4 linked regions of the Arabidopsis thaliana genome follow. The protein of the gene in region 1 interacts with the protein of each later gene in a pairwise test. Each region holds a gene or a part of one and is shown on either strand. Other genes may lie near its edges. The genes, in order: AT2G32380, AT2G28990, RXW8 and AT1G61610.

Evidence for each region.
Region 2: the proteins of AT2G32380 (region 1) and AT2G28990 interact in a protein complementation assay, tested with the Arabidopsis thaliana proteins (one large-scale study listed by BioGRID).
Region 3: the proteins of AT2G32380 (region 1) and RXW8 interact in a protein complementation assay, tested with the Arabidopsis thaliana proteins (one large-scale study listed by BioGRID).
Region 4: the proteins of AT2G32380 (region 1) and AT1G61610 interact in a protein complementation assay, tested with the Arabidopsis thaliana proteins (one large-scale study listed by BioGRID).

Annotation. Positions count from the first base shown.
Region 1 is NC_003071.7:13,746,039-13,749,468, forward strand, and holds AT2G32380 (Transmembrane protein 97, Putative), read right to left. Parts: upstream 1,773-3,430; 5' UTR 1,693-1,772; coding exon 1,369-1,692; intron 937-1,368; coding exon 754-936; 3' UTR 528-753; downstream 1-527. Other genes in the region: GLR3.5 (glutamate receptor 3.5), read right to left, coding at 2,430-2,906, 2,983-3,392.
Region 2 is NC_003071.7:12,452,669-12,460,244, reverse strand, and holds AT2G28990 (Leucine-rich repeat protein kinase family protein), read right to left. Parts: upstream 5,609-7,576; 5' UTR 5,191-5,608; coding exon 5,121-5,190; intron 5,006-5,120; coding exon 4,468-5,005; intron 3,870-4,467; coding exon 3,394-3,869; intron 3,263-3,393; coding exon 3,118-3,262; intron 3,040-3,117; coding exon 2,968-3,039; intron 2,874-2,967; coding exon 2,802-2,873; intron 2,723-2,801; coding exon 2,645-2,722; intron 2,428-2,644; coding exon 2,267-2,427; intron 2,180-2,266; coding exon 1,929-2,179; intron 1,846-1,928; coding exon 1,719-1,845; intron 1,604-1,718; coding exon 1,538-1,603; intron 1,385-1,537; coding exon 1,195-1,384; intron 1,113-1,194; coding exon 704-1,112; 3' UTR 540-703; downstream 1-539.
Region 3 is NC_003070.9:21,730,642-21,738,600, reverse strand, and holds the start of RXW8 (GDSL-like lipase/acylhydrolase superfamily protein), read right to left. Parts: upstream 6,036-7,959; 5' UTR 5,798-6,035; intron 5,184-5,797; exon of another isoform or gene 5,147-5,183; 5' UTR 5,059-5,146; coding exon 4,778-5,058; exon of another isoform or gene 4,681-4,777; coding exon 4,534-4,680; intron 4,431-4,533; coding exon 4,367-4,430; intron 4,243-4,366; coding exon 4,033-4,242; intron 3,404-4,032; coding exon 3,209-3,403; intron 2,784-3,208; coding exon 2,485-2,783; intron 2,264-2,484; coding exon 1,987-2,263; intron 1,661-1,986; coding exon 1,385-1,660; intron 1,091-1,384; coding exon 857-1,090; intron 772-856; coding exon 594-771; intron 516-593; coding exon 436-515; 3' UTR 1-435. Other genes in the region: AT1G58525 (GDSL-like lipase/acylhydrolase superfamily protein), read right to left, coding at 7,257-7,429, 7,550-7,805, 7,908-7,959. UniProt on the Arabidopsis thaliana protein: Acts as an osmosensitive calcium-permeable cation channel.
Region 4 is NC_003070.9:22,731,758-22,737,368, reverse strand, and holds AT1G61610 (S-locus lectin protein kinase family protein), read right to left. Parts: upstream 4,011-5,611; 5' UTR 3,898-4,010; coding exon 2,592-3,897; intron 2,510-2,591; coding exon 2,399-2,509; intron 2,321-2,398; coding exon 2,115-2,320; intron 2,027-2,114; coding exon 1,816-2,026; intron 1,740-1,815; coding exon 1,502-1,739; intron 1,414-1,501; coding exon 1,266-1,413; coding exon of another isoform or gene 1,227-1,265; exon of another isoform or gene 1,169-1,226; coding exon 860-1,168; 3' UTR 511-859; downstream 1-510.

The sequences.
Region 1 (3,430 bases):
TGCTATTTCAGTTGAGTCTTTGGTTTCCTTGTCATTGTTGGACTTGGAACCTTTTGTTATTTCATTCGAGTCTTTGGTTTCCTTGTCATTGTTGGACTTGGAAACCTTTTGTTATTTCAGTTGAGTCTGTTTGTTTCCTTGTCATTGTTGGACATGGAACCTTTCGTTGTTTCAGTTGAGTCTGTTTGTTTCCTTGTCATTGTTGGACTTGGAAACCTTTATGAAGTTATTGAGTACTCTTTTTCTCTATTTGAGTTTCAAATTTGTTTTTTGTTTTCTTTCTATTGACTTTAGATCTTCTTCTAGAGTATGGATATTTCTTTTGTATTGTTTTTGTTGTCTATTTCTGTAGTTTGGTTTATCAAAACTTCACACCTTTTCTTCCCAAGACTCTCTGTTTTGCAAGAGAGCTTAAAGAGTTTTTGGCTGTTGCGCGTTGCCTATGGTTTTAGATTGACCAAACCCAACAAGACTAAGAAATCTGTGCTGAACATGTAGACCTTTTGGGAATGGGAATCACAACGTGTGATTTGTCAAGACCCAACAATGTAGACCTTTTGGTGAAGTGAACTGTAAAATATTTTCAGTTTAACTTCATTTAATTTCAAACAAGAACACAGATGACATGATATTGCTAAAAAAACAGGAAGAATACATCACAAAGGTTCAAAATTTTCTGTTTGAAAAGCCAAATCCACCTATAGCAGAAATTCTCAGAGTCAAAAGATACACTTGCTGATCATCAAGTGTACCTCAAGCACGCTTTCTCCTGGCCAAAATAGCAGGTCTCTTGCCAACAGCTCCACCACTTTTGTTGGATTGAGAAAGAAGACCACGAAGAAGAGCTAGAATACCAACACCCATGAATGGCACATACATCATCAACAATTTCTCAGATGCCTTCCCTGATCCTATCATCTCTCCCAGTATAGCAGCCTAATAAGTAATGAATACTCAATATCAGATTCTTCATCACAAGGCATATTAGCAATGAATGCGGAAAGATTCACATTGCAGAACAATAAGTATAAGTTCGATAACGTTACTAATTCTAATAACCATGAAACTAGTCATTCAACATAGTAGAAACTCAAAATCTCTCTCCCTCATCAACATACAATGTTGTGATTTTAGGGAACCAAATGAAATCTTGAATCAAGCATTATACAAATTTCACTAGTCTGCTCCTAGTTCATACTTTGTAATGGTCCAGTTTCACAGACTTTAACATTGATCACCAATAATCATTTCTCCTATAATCTTCATTAATCTCAGATTTCAGATCCATAAATCAACAAAATCTTACTCTAAATCAAACACGTTATATCCAAATTGATCAGAAACAGCGAGATTAAGATCTAAATGTACCATAGAAGTCACGACGGAAGCTCCGTACACCATTGAGGTGGTACCAAACCACGATTTCCCAGCGAGAATTGCGTAGACGTTGACGATTGAGAGCGGCCAAAGAAGCAAAAGCTCATGCCAGACGAGTCCGACTAGGAAATGCGGCTTCTCTTTGACTAGATAATCTCCAAATTCATCAATGTACCAGCGATTCAGATCGACGATAAACGCCGGGAAGATATCGCCGGGAAGACTCGTTTGACCGTCGATAAGCGGCGCAATTACCGCCATGAGAGCAAAGTATAAGAAGAGAACCGCATCGATCAACTTGCAAAATGCTCCCATTTTTTTTCTTCTTCTCCTTCTTCAATGGATTTTGTTTTTCTCTCTGCTTTAATCTGTCGTTGACCGCGGAAACGAAGAGCCGGCTACTTAATAATTGGCCAAATCTAAATTAAAGCGAACCGGTTTAAACGGCTACCATTTTTCCGGTTTGATTCAGTGGTAAATTCGAACACTACCGGGCCTTAGGCCCATAATCTTCCTCGGAGGATGTATATAGTATCCAGAAAAAATAGTCACCCGAAGGACTACACTAATTAAGAGAGCCCATGATCTGTTACAAAATCTTAAGTTCTAAACATTTGAATAAGTTTCACATCCTCTACATAGTCTAGAAAAATGTGAACTCTACGGTTCTAATAACTTTCGACTCTTGAATTTGCAGATGTTTTATTTTTTATTTTTCAGGGAGTCTAAAGACATGATCATTTCAAAATTCCTTATCTCTCACGCCTTGGAGGAATCATATTCGTAAACACACTTGCAAGTTACAACCTTGCATTGCCTTAAGCAAATTCTTTAGCAAGGTACATTTCTTAGTGTTACGTTTTAGATCTTTTAAAATGTTGAGACTACTTGGTATTGAAACCATGACTCAGTTCACTTGTTCGTCTTGCAAGATGGTAGGGAAATTGTTTTGCATTTTTATCTCTATCTATGTAATAAATCTATGTACCTTTCTAAGTGTAATGTTATATCTGCAGTCATTAAACAAATTGTGTAACTCGTTATTATATATCTCACTGTGGAGTTTCGTGATCTTTCGACTGCGAATTCTCAGCTGAACTTTGGCCATCTTTGAGTTTCTTACTGCTCTTCTCCTTAAGCATCTCCTTAATCTCTGCTTCTCTCTTATCAACAACTTTGATCAAATCCTTGAAACTCACTGCTCTCAAACTTTTCCCTCTAGAAGAACCAGCCTCCTCGCTCCTCGCCTGTACTTCATCACTCTCTTCTGGTCTTAACCGTTGGTATTGCCAGAAAACTTTCCAGCAGAAGAGTGTGAGTGCAATGAACCAAACGACGCCACATATTAGGAAGAGTCCCCAGAAACTCTGTACCGATATTTGATAGTTTTCTGTATCTGAAATCTGCATTGTACATTCGTGGTCGTAGGTAAGCCATTTCTTGCGGATTTTCTCGAGTTTTCCTTCTTCAGCCAGTTGCAGGATCGCTGTCGACATGTCCACAGCTAGAGGAGAGTCTCTCTGGAACGCCTGCAAGAATCGAGATCCATTAAGCAAAGTTTTAACAGAGACTGATCTTAAAAAATTGAAGTTGGTTTTCACATACAAATCCCCAGCCTGTCCGAGTGAATTCCTGTCCAACTGTTCGAAACTTGCAGTTGCTGTTTGACAAGAGAGCTTTAATGTAAGGAAGCTCGTCGACAATGGCTGCCACGCCACCGCCTCTGGGACCACGTTGAAGAGCAGAGAGATATTCTTCTTCGTCTTTAAGCGGAATGATTCTTGATGGAGCTATGTTAAGTTCATTGACCAGAAATTTCCACGCAAAGGTACCATCTTGGACTCCAATGGGTTCGTTGCTTGCTATTAAAGTGTCCATTCCTTCTATCCGAGATGTTAGCTGTTGAACGGTGAGGATTGAAGTGAGACTGGCTGTGTAGCTTGAGTTGATGATTAGAACCACAAATAACCATACGAGTAGCACAAACCTTCCCAACGTGCTCACCGTATTCTCCCCTGAAGATCAACAAAGGAAGAAGAATAAAACACCTTGC
Region 2 (7,576 bases), 1.3 Mb from region 1:
TTATTTCTTTGTCCAATTTGAATGATAGATGTTGTTTTAAATCTCCACTGGTTGTGTACTAGACTAGGTCGAAGTGTGTCTTCGTTAAAACAATATACAACAAGAATTACCAACTTTACATGGTGAAAAAAAAAAAAACATTTACATGATGAACCCTCTCCACAAGATAAATCTGTCTTGTGATATTTCATTATTGGAGTTCTTCGTAACATTTACTATTATACATCTTATTAAACTCAGGATCAACGAGATATACGCTTGTAAACAAGTTCTATTACGTTCATGTTTTATATTTAGACTAAATTTTGACCAACTTTTGGTTTATTAGACCATTTATATCTTCTTTATTTATCTTCTTTTGAAGGAAATATAAACAGCTCTTAAGTTTTGAAGGAAATACATAAGTTTTGGTATATTCAACTCTTCCTTTGGTTTTCAAAATACCGAAAGTGGGAACAACCTAATGCATTTCTTGAGATAGAAACAAAGACGAGAATTAGTTGTGGGTTACAAATTCATGAAATAATTTCAATAAATTTCACCATATGTATTTCACAAAATATATATCACACTACGACAATTCAACATCAGTATTACATGTTATTAGTGAAAGCCTTAGTTATTATTGGCGAAAGACACTCTTGAAACACACAAATTTGAATATTCATGAGAAGAAAAACCAGCAAGAATAAATTTTGACGAGCTAGCGAGCTTGAGGTATTACCTCATTATAAATGTCTCTGCTGAATTCCATTGAACCTTTTGATTCCATGTCTCGTCCCTCACCTATCCTAGAGGTTTCGGATATAAGACATTCTTTTAATTCATTCACAACTCGAGACATGTTTGGTCGTCTTGCAGAAGAAAGACTCACACATGACATTGCTAATTCAATGGCCTTCCAGACAGAACCAATATCATAATCTTGGTGGAGGTTTGGATCCATAATACTTCTAAGATCTCCTTTTGTTATCATAAAACTGACCCATTCCACTATGTGAGGCTTTTCACGGGATTGCTGGATTATAGGACGGTTTGAAATTATCTCTAACAGTACAATTCCGAAACTGTATATATCACTCTTTTCTGTCAACCAATTTGTTTGATAATACCTGCAAAACAAGAAATTGTTGTGATTGTAAAGTAAAAAAAAGGAATGGTGATTTTGGAACTAACATATGAAGTTATACTCACTCAGGATCAAGATATCCAGGAGTACCAGCAACAACAGTTGACACATTTTTCTCATTTCCGATGGGAAAAGATCTTGAAAGCCCAAAATCAGCTAATTTAGCTTGGAGATGTTGATCTAGAAGTATATTCGTAGTTTTGATATCTCTGTGAACCATTGGTGGTACACATCCAGTATGTAAATACTCCAATCCTACATATTAAATTTAATACCATCGTTTATTGGAAAATGGAGATTAATTTCGATATCATCATATGGTTCCTTTCTGATCCGGTCGAGGCCATACTAATACCCATAAAAGCTGTAATTATTAACTAAACATTTGTCTTAAAGTTTAATGAATACCTAGTGCTGCATCCAAAACTATTTTTAGTCTACTTTCCCAGCTCAGGACGAATCCGCCATGCTTTCCTGTATCAATTAAACACACTTCATATCAATTTAGTTATGATCTTTAATTATTCAGAAAAAAAAATTATATCATGGTTAGGTTTTATTAAGAAAACAATTATATATGTGATATTACCTGACAAATGTTGCTTTAAGTCTCCATTTGGCATGTATTCATAAATAAGAGCCAAGTGTTCTCCTTCATCACAATACCCAACAAGACTCACCAAATTTATATGGTGAACTCTCATAAGGAGTTCCACCTAACCAATCATCCATCATCCAACACTCTTAGAGATATACAAATCAATTGGATATCTATTGAGAATTACTAGAAAAAGGGTACCTCTGCCTTGAAATGCTTATAGCCTTGAGAAGATGATTGTGATAGCAATTTAACTGCTACTTGTTCAATAACATTAACAAAACCATGATACACGACTCCAAATCCTCCTTCACCGAGAGCTTTATCGAAGTTATTTGTCATTTCTTGAACCTCAGAGTAAGTAAACCTAATTTTTTTCGATGTGAATGATGATTCTGATTGACTATTGTGCCCGGGATTCGATACAGGCATACTTGGTGGAGCATGTAGATCTACATATGATAGTATATTTGGTTATATGCTAACTATATGCATTGCTTTATAGCAGGTAAACAAATTATTAATGGCTCATAACTTACTTGAAGGGCTGGCCTTCTTCTTTCGGAAGACAAAAAAAAGAGCCACAACCACAACTACAATAACCAAAGAGGCAGCTGATGCAATAACCGGGAGCAAGAATTTATTTTTCTTTTCGGTATTGCAAAAACTGGATTTGCACAAATCTGGATTTCCTTCAAGTCTACAATGAATATGACATATTTTGAAATTGTAAATAGCTTGCATAGGAAAGGCAATAATCGAACTGTCAGGTACCATATTTTGCGATAATTTAATCGACATGAACTCTCTTAATTAAGAAAGATCTAGCAGTTAAATAGTCTCCAAAAATGAAGTTCCTCTACTTTGTTACTATATGATTAGTAAATGCATTCCCTCTATGGAAAAGGAAATCTTACTTTAACACAAGTCCTTCTTTTTCTTTGTCAAGAAGAGCTTGAGGAACTGAACCACTGAGATTGTTCCCACTTAAGTTTCTGTTGAGACAAAGATAACCATTATATATACATACATACGCAGGTCAAAATGTTCATTTATGCTTTTTAGATAGCTTACATTAAAGATAACGTTTTCATGTTGGCAAGGAAGATAGGCACCGGTCCAGTCAAGCTATTATTTGATAAGTCCCTGTGGTTATATGCACAAACAAAAGAAATTGTCTTACATATTCTGTCCAAATAAATCATTATTGGTTCAGGTGATCAACAGTAGAGATACTTACAGTTCTTGTAATTGCGTGAAATTTTGTAAAATTTGGGGTATACTCCCATTTAATCCACTTTTCGACAAATCTCTAATAATACAAAAACACATACAAAATATTTAGATATTTAAATTTTAAATTAAAGAGTAAGTTTGTGAATGACATTACAAGGAAATGATTGTTGGTGAAGTGGAGCCATCTACGTAGGTGCATCTAATACTTTCCCACGACAAATCTTGAGGGAGACATGGATCTCCTTGCCAAGTGATTTTATTCAGCTTATAAGTATTTTTGATGTTCTTGATAGCGTCCACTGACACAATTATTAAGAGAACGTAACAATCAATATCATACTTTATAATATAATGTAAGAATCAATATCATAGCTTATACTTTATAATATAAGTTACATTCCTGTAATATTGAAAGCTGAGAGGTACGTACCATCACTAAGACTTGTTTCCAATTGTGAGAACTCGATAACACTGTATGCCTCAATAGCGTTGATCAGAGGTGGCAGAGTTGAGTTCGGTGTTTTTACTAGCTGTAAATAACAACCTTCTGAACCACATTTCATTGGTTCTTCTGTGTATAATGTAAATACCTTTAACTTGGTTGGACTAAATCCTGAATGATTAAAGTTTCCTCTCAAGATAACGTCAAACTGCCTCGTCTCGTTGGCTTCAAGGGTTTGAATCTCCGCAAAGTGCATGTACAAGTATACCTCCGCATTAATGGGTAGTGGATCCCACGTAATAATCAGCGGCGCACTGGCGTTTCTTGGTATGGCAGCAGTTTGGAGTATATTTTTTGGAATCTCATATGCATTTGAGTTGTTTATATTGAGATCAGTTGTTATATGTGTATGTGAAGATCCGTTGAATGGAGACCAAATACGATCATGGACGTCATCAGCATACCTACAATAAATTTTATTAGCCACATAAATTAATAAGTAAATTGTATTAGCCAAATACTAGTCTATGAAACTAAGATACCAAAAACTAAGTTAGTTGGCAACTATCCGAGTCAATCACCTTGGCTCGTTTTTTTAATAATGAATTCAATCATTCAATTTCATTTATCGTTGCTTGTTTAGTTTGATTTACAATAATGTTAGTCTTTTGTATGTTTGATTTGGTTGTTTGGTTCTTGCTTATTTTCTTTCAATTAATTAATTTAGTTTTAATTGTGAACAAAAAAAAGAAAAAAAAAATTTGTTTTCTTAGCTCATATTAGTATCTTTTATTTCTAGTTCGTTGTTCTTAGTTCTTTGTTCAATTGTTACAATGACTTGCCATATAGTTTTGGCATAATGTAGTTACGTTGGAGTCTTAAAATTTTGAACACATCATTCAACAATGATGTTTTTAACACAAGTAAAGTCAACATATCCCCTCATTCATATCTTCTCCAGAAAAAAAAAGAGAGAAAAACCTCACATTTTTTAAAAGAATAATGTTAAATTTTATTCAAAAGAAAAACGTCACATTGAATGCTTCAAATAGATTGACTTACCTTATAGATGCATCTGAATTGCTAAGATAAACCCGGAAAGACATCATCAGCGAACCAGATTGTGTAACATACGTATTATTCCTTAGTGGCCGTATTTCTATGGCTGAAATTATTGGCAAAGTTTCTCCTGTCTTAACAAGACAAATATCCAAAGAGTTTGACCTGGCTTTGTGTATGATCTCTTCTCTTGTACCTTCTTTCTCTCCATCCAAATCTATTCTTTTCCACTTATTGGGACCAAGATGGATATCGAAGTTTGGATCACGGTTAAGACCATCATAATTTCCATATACAAAGCTAACCACGATGAGATAAGTTGTGCCACGCTTGACATCAAGACTATAACAATTACGTTTTCCTTCTGGGAAGTATCTAAGAGTCAAATATTGTTTTGATAAGTTTATGTTAAGATCTTTATCGACACTATCAATTTTTCCTGTTTGGATGAAAGTGGAATCCGATGTGAATGTTAATCCGTTAAACGAATCATCGTAAGGAGATTCGTCACTAGGTAATCCACAATCTAAACTGATGAAACCTGTTCAAATATAAAAGCAATAAATGGGAAAAGTGATATTGATACATTCTTATATAACATATCACAAGTCAAAGGATTGATTTATAAACAAGAAAGAGATGGTATATATCATTACCTTCTTGATCCTGGGCTCCAATTATAACGACAAAGGTTCCAATCATGGCCAACAAAAGGTGAATCTTCATGTTCTCTCTCGATCACTATCCGGTTTCTCTAGTACTCAAGAAAAAACAAAGACTTGCTTAGGGAAAACTGCAAAAGATATGGAACTGAGAGATACCTCATGTATAAGTTGGAATGAAATATACAAAAGTCAACTCCGGGTAGAAAATTAAATAATGATCGTGGAAATAATCAATCTGGTGTTGAATAGTTGTATATGTTCAGGAGACTCGTCATGTGTAGGAATATTTCCTCCACGAATGTATGGTTTATCGCCAGATGATCTTACTTTGTCTATGTGCTTAAATTGCTTGAGTGAAGAAAAATCATTTGGTATATCTTCATTTAGTAGTCAGCCACCAAAATAACGAATGAGAAAACTTTCGAGCACAAAGATATATAAAGGTTTCTTTCGTGGATAAGTATTTCGTTTGGATCCCGTCCTATAAACTAGTTTACTAGATTGGATCGAATATATATAATTAAGTTTCAGAATTAGTATACAAAGATCATGTTTTTTGATTAAAAAGAAAAATCATGTTATTCACTGACACATTATATTTTGTTGATTTTTTCAGCGGCAAACTAATCATAGACCAATCAATCAAAGGTAAAAAATTAGGGCTGACGTGGCAGGGCGATTTTGAAGGCGATTTAGGGTTTCACTACCGTGTGTCCCAATCTGGCAGATCTGGCGGCTTTTCCGCCGTCTTCCCCCATCATGTCGACGGCGATGGTGGTGGAGAGCACATCGAAAAGTTCAGAAGCTTCCCCAGAAACGACCAAACCATCATACTCATCAATTGTTCAGAATAGACCAACCCTTTCGAAGCATGAATTCAACGTAACAATGGTCAACGGTGATTCGATTGTCCAAGTCCCAAATGAAATCTTTGAAGATTCAACACCATTGTGGGATGATTTGCTCATAGGGCGGTTTCCACAAATATCTCCGCATATTGCAAAAGTTCACGTTATTGTGAACAAGATCTGGCCACTTGGAGACAAGACGGTAAAGATTGACGCATATGTGGTAGACACTAAAACAATCAAATTCCGAATCAGAGAGAGTTCAGTCCGAGCTAGGGTTCTTCGCAGAGGAATGTGGAACATAGCTGACATGCCTATGATCGTTTCTAAATGGTCCCCGGTTGCTGAGGATGCTCAGCCAGAAATTAAAACAATGCCAATGTGGATCACCATTAAAAATGTTCCACGCTCAATGTTTACTTGGAAGGGTCTGAGTTTTCTTGCAAGTCCTATTGGGGAACCAAAAAAGCTTCACCCTGACACAGTTCTGTGCAACAGTTTTGAGGAAGCTAAGGTATTTGTAGAAGCAGATTTAACACAGGAAATGCCAAAACAATTCCGCTTTAAATCTGAAACTGGCGTTGATGCAATGGTCGAATATAAGTATCCTTGGTTGCCGCCGAGATGCTCTTCATGCTCTAAGTGGGGACATATACAAGAGGTTTGTCTAACGCGTCCATCACCCAATCAGCTATCCACACCAACGGAGATAGAAACAGAGGATAAAACAGAGCCTCCTCTCATGAAAGAAAAACCTCTCGAAATACTATCGAAATCTCCTTCGGCTACTTTGACAAAAACGCTAAACGGTGATTCTCACACTCAGAAAGTTCCAATGAAGAATCCGACTGTTTTACAGAATAAGGGAAAGGAAGTTGCAGAGGAAAACGAGGAAAATTTGAAGGACGAAGGTCCCTGGCACACGGTATCGCCTGCTAAGGTAGGCAGGCAGAGGAGTCCTCAACCTCAAGAAGTAGTTAATCATGCGTCTCCTTCTCGTTTTGATGTCCTAGCAGTGGAGGAGGACACGGCTGACACAAACGGTCATGAGGAAGGAGAAATTGTTGTTCTCTCCCAACAATTAAATGATAATTCAGATTCAGTTGGTGTTCAAGGGACTCGTCCGTACATCCCACGAATCTCAAAGTCTCAGCATAAGGTGGTCAAAAGCTCTGCGAATCAAAACACGAAGGGTAACCCTAGTGTTTCAGGTCATAGGGCTCATAAAAAGAAATAATTTTTATGTCGGGTTTCTTTTGGAATGTCCGTGGTCTAAATAAATCTTCTAAACATTCCATTATCAAAAGTTGGGTGAATCACAGTTCTATGCAATTTGGTTGTCTTCTGGAGACGAGAGTCAAGGAGGGCAGATCAGCTGAACTACTTTCGTCTATTTTTAGTGGTTGGTCGTCTATAACTAATTATGAATCACATCGGTTAGGCCGCATTTGGGTTGTTTGGAGGGACAATGCTCGACTAACTCCGGTATTTAAGAGTAGTCAAATGATAACATGTTCGATTCTGTTGGAAGGTAAAGAAGAAGAATTCTTTTGTTCTTTTATTTATGCTTCAAATTTTGTGGAGGAGAGACGTATTTTG
Region 3 (7,959 bases), on another chromosome or scaffold:
CACCTTTCGTACGACATAATTTCCATAGATGAACAACTGAAAAATGGCCATCTCATCAAAGAGATTGATAGTTTTAGTTTCTCATACTCTGAGCTCTATAAAGAAGTTCCATTTCTTCTTGCAGTAACTATAAGATGTACATTTTTATCTTGGCAACAAGACTGTACATGTTTCCCCCATATAATTTGTATAGGAATTTTCATTGAAGAAATTATCAAATATCCCAGAAAAACTTACATCTACTTTTCTTCAAGTGAGTGAAAGTATTCCCAGTAACATTGGTTTTGCAGCTGAGCATGCCTACGAGAGAACTCTTGTGCTTAATGCACTGATTTGTTGGAGACTTTGTGATTGAACCAACACATAGGCACTTCACTAGTAAAAACATCTGTCTAGTTCCGTTTGTGAAGTTCGATCTTCTTTGGAGAAAGATGCTCAGGACTTAGTGTCATGTTCTTGACCAGATTCATTGCCTTGGAATCCCCATAACTCTTTAGCTATCGCATCCCCCTCCTCTGAAAAATATAAATCTCATTAGTCTCTAATCAAGTGATATCTATAATCATACACAAACAGTGATATAAACTCGAAACCTGGCTTCAATTTTTCAGGATCTGGTAACTCCTGCTTTTTGAAAGGATTACTACATTCAGCTTTACTCGATGATTTCTGAGAGTGTAATGGTATCTGCGAGTATACATTATGCAATTTTTTATGTAACTCTTCCATCTTTCCTGATATTTCATCAGCTCTGTCCATATCTATGAGAACCTGAAAAGAAACACATCAATCAAGCACCGAGAAGACGCATAAACTGCAGTAGGAACATCAAAGGTTTTGGTTACATTTAATATACCTGGGCAGGATTTTTGTTGAAAATGGGCGCAAACCTCTGCCGACAATACTCACTAAAAAGTAACGTGAGAAGAATTAACGGTATGGTGAAACCCGAAGCAACTGTTGATAGCTTTAATCCGAAAAACCCCAAAGCTATAATCTGTGTCAAGATCAGTGAAAAGATTGTTGTGTTGTGGAAAATAGGCCAGTATTGTCCACCGCTTTCGTACTTCGTAATATACACGTTGAGTATCTGCAAATAGAAACAATTCTGTTGAGCATCTACAAAGGGTTGTCTTTAAAAATATATATCAAGAGTTCTTTTTACTCAATGCATGAGCTTGGCACTACTAATGGCTCTTATCACATTGTACATGACTATAAACATTGCAGAAGCAAAATTCCGAAAAGCACAAATCCAATTTCCATCTAAAACATGCAGGTCACAAAGTAACTAAGCTTTCACAAATTAGGTACAAGTCCATTATGATGCTTTTGGAGAGATTAACTGTGATATTATGTACAAGAGATCAGAGAACACACTTACTTGATTTTTGTATATGAGATATGCAAGGAAAAAGTATATCAGCAAAAACGGCAGTATCAGTGGTGCTATGACTGAATTGGTGAAACCCAGGAGCCCAAACAAAAGCAGCCGAGGAATTTCGGTGTGGTATGGGAACCTAAGTGTTTCATATGACTCATCCTCGTTCTTGGTAACAACTTTTGCTACCAGATTCCAGATAAGAGCCATAGGCTGCATTATTTCACAAGCCAAACTGGCCCAACCAGATGTGAAACAATAGGTCATGAAGAAGCCAGCCTGCATACATGGTTAAAGCCATATTCAAAATCAATGATACAATTTTCATTTTTCCTAATAAATATGAAACACAAGCAACCAGAAAAGCTCAATCCCAAATAATTCCTCCAATGGGCTTTAATATCTCTGATATATAATTTTATCATGGAACGAGGAAAAAGAACAAACTATTAAAGTTCCAGCGCAAGAAAACACTATATCCAATCCGAAAGCTGCAAGATCTTGGCAAAATGTAACCTAGCTAATGTTCAGAGACTGTAGAAACCTGAACATTAGCAAAATTCAAACTTTTGCTCTGAAATGTAAAAGGACTATGGGTAAATTACCTGTGTTGGCACTGCTCTAGCAAGTTGTGCAGGTATGTCTCTGACACTAGAAAAGACATTCAGTTGCCTGATAACAGACCCTGATAATATATTCACGAAGAACACATTCCAAATGGTAAAATATAAGACTTTGATGCAAGCACTCTTCTTCCTTATACTCCGTGAAATACATCCCTCCAAGGCCGAAAAATACATCATCAATGGTGGAACGGCATAGAAAAATAGAATCAAGATCACACTGGGTAAGTACCCTGTGATGACCTGGTTTATAAAGTTCCTGCAAAATGGTTTTGGTGGCCCGATTAACTTGAAAGATGATAAAACAAATCAAGAACATAAATTTTGATTTCTCCAATGGTTTGAAAGCTATAGAGAAGGCTCGTGTGTTCTATACTGCACCGGAGTTCCGCCTACTTTTTAACGCCAATTCTAATATCATGTCCAGAAGAAACAAAACCATATATATATACATGCGTAAGGAACCAGCAGGGCACTCACTTGCTCAAGATGCCTCTTAGAAAAGGAAATGCGTGAGACAGCTGCACTAGTTGAGTCAGCCCTTGAATGAAGGTAACGGGAATAAGAAACACAAACATGAAAGCAACTGCACCAACAAGGGTTGCTATTTTCCGTATCCAAAGTTGTCGATAAGGAATGTTGAGATTCTTCCAGTACACATCATGAGGTTCTGGGGCTAAGTCTGTCACCCATAACATAGGATTTGATGATTGTAGAACCTCCGAAACAACAAGAGCATCATAGCGAGTCTTAAAAAACACAAAAGCAGCTGAACGTTCCTGCAAAACGCAGAAAATTTTGTGGCTTTAGTAAGCTATTCTATATTGTGACTAATTAAAATCAAGCATTGCTACTTCTAATCGCTACCACAAAAGTGAAAAATCTTAGTTAACTATACTGAATTGTCGAATATGGTGCTACAAATCATTAATGATGGTTTAAAACTGTACCGAGTAAACAAAACTATACAAGTCTATGCAGTATCAGACAATCAGACTGCCACTTCCAAAGTTCAATTTGTATCCCATTAAAGTAAAAGAAGTCTTTATCTGTCAGGACCAGGTGAAAAACTGAGAAGAAATGCAGTGGAAACTTCTAAATCAGTTTGTAATGTTAGTTGAAACGATCCTCTCCACTGGACAGAAGAAATAACAGATATCCACATCCTATGCCTAGATCAGGGAAAGACAGAAGAATTCCTTACTTGCTCTGTCGTAGTCGTAGTCATAGTCAACTCACCAAGCTCCATTCCTTTCACACTGTCTGCCTCATTCGATAGGATATGAAAAGAACTTGTGGCTGTAGGTCCTCCACAAAAGGTGCATGGCCTTAAACTCGGTTTACAATTGATTTCAGGAGAAACGTGTTTTAGAGTCTGGCACATCCTCTCCGCATCACGCTGAGACAGAAATTGGAATAATCTAAACGTCACACTTTTTATCTGACATAGAACATTAAATTTCAAATACTTTATCACAAGCACAAACCATCCACATATCATTTACCCAATTTCTACAACATGCTGACAGGTAATAAATGAGAAACTGATGTAGTGATACTGAAATAACCACAGTATCAGAAAGCAGTAGAATGAAAGCCCAGCAGTAGGATACAGACAGAGTTGCTCTAGAAGGTCCTTTCATATTCCCAGAATATGCATCTAAACTGTACCCCTTTTAGCTGATACACGAACTAAATTTCATTATTATATCTACTGTGCTATGTAATATCATCAATCTCTGCATCTAGTCATCAAATAACCCTTTATAACATCCAAGCAGCACATAACAATTCAGAACCATGAAATTTACACCAACTACGAAAGCTATCAACCAAAATGAATACTGCAATAAGAAGTAACACTTAAAGCTGGCAAAATGTTCAAAACTTCAAATCATTTTCACAAAGAGCAATAACAGTTTTTTAAAATAAATCTAGGTGACGGTTTTAATCTGACAAGTAAAGCAAGAGGAAGGTGGCCTGCGTAATAGTTTAGTTAAAAATGACTGTTCCAAGAAATATACGTACCAGCAGTCTCTGAATGATGCCATTATGGTAGACCATTTGGTGGGACACGTAGCTGGACGAGTAGTAGTTTGTGAAGAATTTGCTCAGCGTGTCGCTGTAAGATTGCTCAGGAGACCATGGAATAGCACGGATAAGAACGGTAAATTGACTTGGCTTTGAGGCACATCCAGTAATATGCCCAAGCCTCATTTTAGCTATGGTGCTATACTCCTACAGTATAAAAAAAATGTCAAAAGGTTGGGAAATAAACTAATAAGAAGATACATGGAGGAACCAAGAGTAAGTATTCAAGTATGCTGTATGCATGAGATAAACTAAGGTACGAGGTCCTCACAAAGTAGAGCAGAAGACATGCCGCTGAGGTTATAATGTACAGTGCAAGACAATGAACCCACAGCCTGAGAGCAATAAATGTAATGAGAAAAAATCAGCACTTTACACACTCTGCATAGAGTAACATCTTTCAAAGAGACATAGGTAGAGATAAAAAAAAACATTTACCATTTTGAGCCTTCTTTAAGATTTTCAATTGTAAACACTTCGGATGACTCCAAATGGATTTCCTTATGCACCATCGGTTGCCCATAATAATTAACAGGCAGCACAAAGGCAATGCAAATAACAGCAACTATAAAGAAAATACGAATGCTGCAGAACAAAAAACACAAAGTAAAACAAACACTACAGAACAAAACCAAGAAGCAGAACAAAGAAAAAGCATCTGGGAGAGTTTATTTTCAGTAACCTGAAAATGACCATCCTAAGGAAGACGACAGCATCAAGACCAGCAGCAGCTAATAACTCGTCTTCACTAGTCTCCCATGCTTTCACAAGCCAACTTGGAGACGGCACAAACCTCTCATACCAAAAAGGATCATAACGTCTAGCACCACCACAAACAAGCCTTCGGCCAAAATATACACAGTAATTGGCTGGCTGTTTCCTAAGTATGGAGTAAAGTGATAAAAGAACTATGCATATCGAAATATTAATTCCAGCAGATGTAAGAAGAGCTGATATCTCCATCTTAATCTTAGTTCAACTCCTTCCTGACTAAAAATCGCAGGAAGAGAAGAACTTCATAAGTACGTCGTCTCGTCACAAGATGGCCAACCTAGCAATACAGGAGGTTCTTAGATTGGCAGGAGAAACTGTAAGAAAACATCACAAAAAGAAAAAAGATAAGAACATCGAAATAACAAAAGTCCTGAAATCCAATGCTTAAAAAAACAGATAGGCTAACGAAACACCGCGAAAGAGACTGATAAACAATCGTCGATCAAACGTGTAAGTTGAATCCAAACTATCTTAACACTAACCAAAACTTTCTGCATTTGCATTGCAGATACGAAAAATTGGAAACATGAATCAAATCATAATCAGTACCTAAACTTGCAGAGGAAGATAAGTTGGTTACATACGACCCAAAGATAACAAACAACATAATGCACTGAGATTCAATTTCAAGTTATCAATTTCTGTTTTCCGTTAATCAAAATTACGATTCGCAATTTCAATGGTGCCTAAACAATAAAGTAGAACTACGATAGATGAAAACGCGGAAACGTAGAACAAACAATGAATCAGAGAATCGCATTCCACTAAATCCAGTGAAACAAACACAATTTCGATTCCCAGGGAAATCAATCGAAGCAAAATCATCAAATCCAATTCGTCAGAAAAATTACAGATACAACACGAAGTTGTATAACAGAATAAACCAAATCGAAGAGATTTCAGAAAAAAAAAAAAAAACATGACTTACAGAGAGAAATACCAAAAACTTTGGTTTGACTTCAGAGAATTCGATTGCGAAGAGAACCAGAAGATTCAGAAACCCTAAGAATTCGCAGAGAAGAGAAGAGAAAAAAAAAAAAATGAAACACCGAATTGCTTTTAAAATTCCAATTCCGCGAAGAGTTCGCATTTCCAGTTCATTCAAATCATAACTTAAAATGAAAACATGCAAATAATTAAAATTAAATACAAATGATTAGGCCACGTTGTGTGGCCGGTGAAGAAGGGAGCGACGATTAGGCCACGTGTCGGTTATAAAATGGTTGATGCTCCAAGATTTGATACTATGTGAGAGCGACTACTCTGTGGTCGAATTTATTATGACCGTTGGTTTTGTGATAGAATGGGTAAGATAGCGACACGTGTGGGTGCGTTTTTTTTCACAACGTTCGCTCAAGTGTTAGTTAAAACTGTTATGACTATTGAAAAATTAAAGGAAAGGTGAAGAAGGAATCATGGATTTTGGATTCATGTGTTTCTTGTTGCAAGTGAGATATGCATGAGTATGACATAAAAGTTTTATTCAATATAGTACTACTAGGCCTGGACATTCGGTTAACCATTCGGTTTCGGTTCGGTTGCGCATGGTTTCGGTTATTTCGGTTATAGTAATATAAGAACCATTTTGGATATTTGAGGAATTTTGGTTCGGTTCGATTCGGATATCTTTCGGTTCGGTTCGGTTCGGATATTAAACTTGGTAACCATAAATAAACCAAAACCGAAATAACCGACTAAAAACCGAAACAAAAAAAAAAAATTGACCAATAACCGATATAGAACGTACGTAAAAAAAGATATATTCACAACTCACAAAGATGCAAATATGGTCCATACTCTCCATAATATTAAAATACCTGATTCACAACTCACAAAATTCAACTTGCAAACTAATAAAGAGAAGAACATAGTTAAGTGTCAATACATACAATATATGTGATATATTATCTATCATACATATATGCTTTGGTTATCCTTTGGTTATCGGTTACTAACCTAACCAAAACCGAAACCGAAATCTAAAACATATAATATCCAGCCGGTTATTTTAAGCTATCCAAACCCGAACCGAACCATGTTTTTCGGTTCGGCTCGGTTCGGTTAATCGGTTAGCGGTTCTTTTGCCCAGGCCTAAGTACTGTAGAATAGTTTTTTTTTTTTTTTCTTATGAAAGTAACATATGTATACTATTTTGGGTATTATTATACTAGTATGTTACAAAAGGAATAAAATAGTCTAAAACGTATAAAATTCCACTATTTGATTGTATATTTTTCCGTTGAAAATATTTATCTTTATCCCACCAAATATTATTATAGAAAAAGAATGAATATTTAAAATTTAAGATATGAATACATAGTGAGACATGAATTAAGATGAAAAAAAATTTGAAACAAAAAGATACAATTTTCTTTGATTCCTCAACATCAATAGACTTTGCTCAAATATTTATCGAGTAAATTGTCGACGATAACTTGATAAGCTCTTTCAGATGGATGATAGCTATCCCAAAATATGTATGATGAAGAATTAGAACACGTAAATGGGTTCAATGAGTTACATAAATAGGATATTGTGAGCAGTCCTTTACCGCAACATCCTTTATCGGCTACGTCAAAACCTAAAAGAAATGAGATAATTGGAATAAAATTTAGTTCGACAATAAAAATGAATTATAATATATAGTTTCTATATAGATAAATCTGTTAGATGAACTTACCGTATTTTTTAGGGTGTTGGATCATGTCAAAAAGAGTATCATAAACATTAATGTAAAGGATAACACCATCCAACTCTTTATCTAAAGAATCTAATGCTGGAGAAAGTCTTGCGTTGAATTGTTTTGCCATGTTGTTTAGAGGTTCATTACATCCTCTTGTAAAAAAACCTCCAAAAACTGTTCTTTGTAATGGAACACAACCAACGGGGACTGCACTAAACACTCCAATTTTTCGAGCTCCAAGCTTATGTAATTCCTAATTATCAGTTATAGATAAGATAAAATAGTTAGTGGATATAACAATATATTATTGATTAGTTTATGTATTATTATATATAACTACGAATAAAATACTTACTCTCACGAAATGGACAGCAGAGTCAGCCAAGAAATTGGCATAAGAGGTACGG
Region 4 (5,611 bases), on another chromosome or scaffold:
ATAAAGGTTTTGGTGTGATTTGTATTAAAATCTTGTGTTATTCAAACATGAATTTAAAAAGTTTGTAAAACTCAAGTGTTATTGGATTATTAATTTTAAAATGTAGAATCAAATCAACCAACATTGTTCACAAATGAGAACTTAGTTATAAATGAAAATTTTCTCTTTTAAATAGGATTTTTACAAATGGGTGGAAAAATATAATTTATAATCAAACATAAAAATGTAGATAACTCCACTTCAAGAGTGTTGATTTCATTACTAGCCCTAGGGATGGGCATACCGTTTTTCGGTTTGGTTTCACTTCGGTTTTTTGGTTTTACGGTTTTTAGTTTTATAAAAGCTATAATCATATAGAAACCGTAAATAATTTTTTTTTTTTTATGGTTTTACAGTTTTTTAAAAAAGAAATATGTGAGATGTCAAAAAAAAAAAAATTAAGAATACAAATGTCCAAATCATATGATTTAAGGGAAGATTTTTATAAATTTAATAACAAATTTTCTAATTCCCTAAAATTCAACAAAATCATCTTAAAACTCATTAAATCTCAAATCACTGGAAATTCCTCCTTCGATGCCACTACCTTTGTCCATATTCCAACTTCTCCAATTCATGTTCGAACAACAACGCTTTTTTCTTCACAATTAAGTATGTTGTTGAGCTTCTTCTCTTTTGTTGCTAAAAGTATGTTGTGTACAAATCCGATTAGTTTTTCATCGTCAATGTACATGTATTATAATATTTTCAACGAAGAATTTAATTATGTATAAAAAGTTGAAAACTATGGAGAAAAGAGTTCGAGACCAAATGGATAGTCAAAGAGCGTTTTGGGGAAAAATAACTTCTGGTCAGTGAGTCATCTACCAACAATTGTTGTGAAAGTAACATCGTTAACGGAGGCAACATCGTGACCGTCAAAGTTGAGTTCAATGTCACCAGAGTTCAAGAACGAGTGGAAGGTCGGCTGTCTCGGGGGTGGAAGTTGACTGGTTTGACTCTCCAACATCAACAAAACCGAACCCATGTTTGGTCTGTGAATGACCGAGTCTTGTGTACACAACATACCCACGTGGATGCATCTCATCGCTTCCGTCACGTCTCTAGTGTCCTTCACAATTGGATCTATCATCTCTTTTGTCTTTCCTTGGCTCCATAAATGCCACGCCTTATTTTTTTTTTTCCGTTTAGAACATTCATTAGTAACAAATATTCGAATATTTTAGTTAGACCTGAAAATTTATGGTTAAAGAAAAGAGACGTACATAACCAATGAGACTTCCATGATCAGTCCCTCGAAAGCTAACGTTTTTTCTTCCACTCACAATCTCCAATATCAACACTCCAAAGCTATACACATCTGATTTCTCTGAGAATATCCCTTCCATTGCATACTCCGGAGCCATATAACCACTACACTTGTTGAACATCAAAATCATTAAAAATTGATAGAGTTCGATATTGTTTAATTTAGAGGAGATAAAGAGGTTTGTTAAGTTACTATGTGCCGACGACTCGGATTGTGTTGGCATGGTCTTGTCGGTAGTTGAATATCCTAGCCATACCGAAATCCGAGATCTTTGGATTCATTTCCGTGTCTAGCAAGATATTGCTAGCTTTTAGGTCACGGTGAATGATCTTTAGTCTTGAGTCTCTATGTAAGTAAAGTAATCCCCTCGCGATTCCTCCAATGACCTCCCATCGTTTTCTCCAGTCCAAACTTCCTTGTTTACTCTCATCTGCGCAGAGTCATTATATACTCAATCCGAACATTTTCAAAACATTTTAATTGAAATTGTTTAGAAAAAAACATACCAAAAAGAAAGCGGTCCAAACTCTTGTTTGGCATATATTCATAGAGAAGCATCTTCTCATTGTCTTCAATGCAACATCCTAGTAATCTAACAAGATTCCGATGCTGGAGTTTCGCGATTAGTAAGATCTCGTTCTTGAACTCCTCTAGTCCTTGTTTAGATTTCCCTGATAGTCTCTTCACTGCAATCTCTCTTCCTTCTGAAAAGTTTCCCTGTCCAAACATAACACATAAGTTTTTGCATACAAAGCAAAGTTTTATTATCCAGTATTATTGTCAGAAAAAAAAAATCATTTTCTACCTTATATACAGTACCGAATCCGCCCTGTCCAAGCTTGTTCTCTTCAGCGAAATCTCCAGTAGCTGAGGCTACGCTGTCAAAACTGAATATTGGTAAATCGGGTGTGTCAACTTGATCCCCTACTAGAACTTTGATCGGCGAGCTTGAGTAATCTCTGTTCTCTATGATATCAGAAACTGTGATATCTTTCTTCTTCCACAAGAAAGCTGCAGATCATGGAGTAATTGACAGTCTCAGTAGTTTAATTCTTGTGAAACAAGACTATGTACGAATAGAGACTTTACCTTTAAGGCTTTTCTTAAACTTCCATAAGATCCAAATGCATAATCCTAGTAAGAATGCTCCTATAACACTGAAAACAATTATCCAAAGTGTTGAATTTTCCTTCCCACCACCTGTATACACAACAAAAGAAACAGATTAGTCATGTTTAAATCTTTCACAATGTTATATGATAGCTTAAACATTTTTCCAAACCTAGTTTAGAACCCGCTAGCCGGATGTTGATAGAGTTTCCACCGCGTTCAAAATGTTCCATATCGATCAAATCACGGGTCCAAATCATGCATCCGATCCCTACTACTAACGCATAAGCCTTACAAGAACAGTCCCTTGCGCATACATCTTTACAGGTCTCTGAGTTGTTATGTAAAACAACTGATCCAAAATCAGGCACCTTTATTCCCTTAAGTACCGTAAACCCATCCTCTTGACCTGCAACCAGACTCTGATTACAGTTCAAAGGAACTCTTCTTTGGCAGCCACCTGAGAAGTCCCTGTTGTTCCATTGATCCTGATGAACCGGCTCAAATCCATCAATGCAACTGCATTTACCGGAATCAAACTCCTTACTATCATCACATACACTGTAATTACCACAACGGTTATACTTCTCACATTCCGTGCTTGGTTTCCATTGAAGCAAATTCCAGTTCCTGATATCCTTATTCCATCTGAACTGCTCTTCTACGCCATCAGGCCTAATCCAAAACCTCAAGAAATCGGAACTATCTGAGGCAACATACGTGAAGTACACGCTACCATCTCTATCAGGAGGAGAAGAGAGCTTAAACCCGTAAATATAATTTGTGAAACGGAGCATATCAGGTATACCGGTAAAGATAGCCGAATTCCACGGTCCGCTACGCCATTTTCTCTTTTCCCCTTCCCAAATCACAATCTCTAGTGCTCCCACAGGATCAATCCCCATTGAATACTTTCCTGGTGAAGGATCACTCTCGGATTTCCACGGGATAAATGCGCGATTTTCTCCAAGCGAAGGATTCACCCGAACCCTCATACCGGGCAAGAAAGTGTCGGTTGGATTGTTAAAACTCTCCCAATACCATTTTCTTCTGTCTGAGTCTGAACACAGAACCAAATCCCCTGTTTTGAACAGAACAGCAACCGTGTTGTTTGACTCGGGCTCGACATTTGTGGACCAAATGGTTTCGTTTTGACCGTTCACGATCACCAAATTTCCGTCATCTGCAATCTTTAGAGCTCCCTTGTGATCCAACAACGGCTTCTCTCTATTCGCAACCCAAACAACTGTTTGAGGTTCTATGTTCTTGTACCATATTCCAACATACCTTAACGTCGAATTTTTGGGGGTGAAGAATCCAAGCTCGAAGCTTTCATCCTCGCTGATCAGTGAGTCTCCCTCTCGTATTGTGTGGTTTCTAGTGAATGAGTTGCTTGTGGAGCAAGATACGTTGCTACATAGTTGATGGAATATCAAAAGAGTCGTCACCAAAGTAAGGTTTCTGTTAAATCCTGCCATATTTGAGATGATTTGAGCTTCAGAGATCTGTATATAACAAGAAGGAAAAGAAAGAAAAGAACAAAAATAGTGGCTATCGAAGTTTCATGTAGACTAGTTTGGTCTTTCTCAATTTAACGAGAAAAGTCGTCTTTAAAATTGAGGAAAATAGTGGAAATCATCTCCAAAAACAAATACCAACGAATGAAAAGGACAACCGACGAATTCGTGTTGACAAGAATATGAACTTTCACGTTTTATTTAAGACTTTTGATTTTATAGTGCAAAATTGTGACTTTTAAGGCAAGAAAAGGATATATCAATTGATTTTTATCTCTTATTGAGAATACGACCTTCTTCATTTGGGTGGTTGAAAACATCCAAAATAAATAAATATTCTAAATACATAAAAATACTAATGTAGAATGGTAATCAATATAGATTGGGGCACAACAGTACAATTTTATTTTTATGAGTTCAAAAATTTATTGGTGAAGAAAAACTGTAAATTCTATTGTTGAGTGGCGTTTTCACCTTACAAAACGCAATTATGGAAATATGCATAATTCAAATTTTGTGATGAATATAATCTAGCTGCATTACGAAGCACAAGTTCCTCTTGCGCAGATTCACTCATTGACATGCGTGTGAGGAAGCAAATAAACTACATTTTCCGACAGTGAGTGACATGATACTGGCGAAGGCATGACTTTTGGAGAATTATATTGCCCCACCACTTATTACTCGTGTAAGTCCTCGTCTTATAGCCTAGTTTGGTACAAACCCATTTTAAACATGGCTTTATCATATGCTTAGATTTTTATTTTTATTTTTATTTTGGTTTATAGATAAGAAATTTTCAGCAAATTTGTTATTAAAAAAAAAAATATATATATATATATATAGCAAAACCTTAAATAAATGGTGTGTGTGTGTGTTTTGCATTTGATTTGAAGAAATAATGTGATTTCATATCAAACAGTGTGATATCGGTTAAAATAACATGACAGTTGTTATTTAAAAAACACTAATAAATTTCACGTTATTGATAAATAAAAAAAGTATGTAAAAATGAATCAACTTTTACAATATTTCTCATCCATCATTTTTGCAACTGGTAAAATTTGGAGATCTTGGCCCTGAATGGATGCTGATTTTCGATTCAGTTTTTGGATTTAGATTTTAGTTTCTAGATTTTAGATTTTAGTTTTAGATTTTTGTTATTATATATTTGTTTTAAAAATCCCAAAAATTGGTTTTTAGTTTTTGAGATAAATAACGTTGATGAAGTAAAAACTAAATTTCCTAAATTTTAGGAAAACTAAAAAACTAAAATCATAAATGGAAAATTACAACAAAATAGTTTTTCTAAATTGTAGGGAAACCAAAATTTTAAAATCTTGATTGGTATGAAAATAAGTTTTTGAAAAACAAAATCCAAAAACTCTTACAAAATCTACGAAACATTCAAAGCCCTTGTAAATTTTACACATTTATAACCAAAACTTTAAACACTAGTCCTGCAGGTTTGAAATACGCTCTACCCAAAAACCAAAGGGTGAAATACATAGATAACGCTATAAACCTTTGTACATTGTCATGCTTTTCATTTTTGAATCAATAATTCTCAACGAAAGAAAAACAAAGAAATCAAGATTGTCAAATGCTTCAAATGAACACAATTCTTTCTAATGGTTTGTGGATTCTTCAGTCGTACCAAACCCGTATTAGAGTC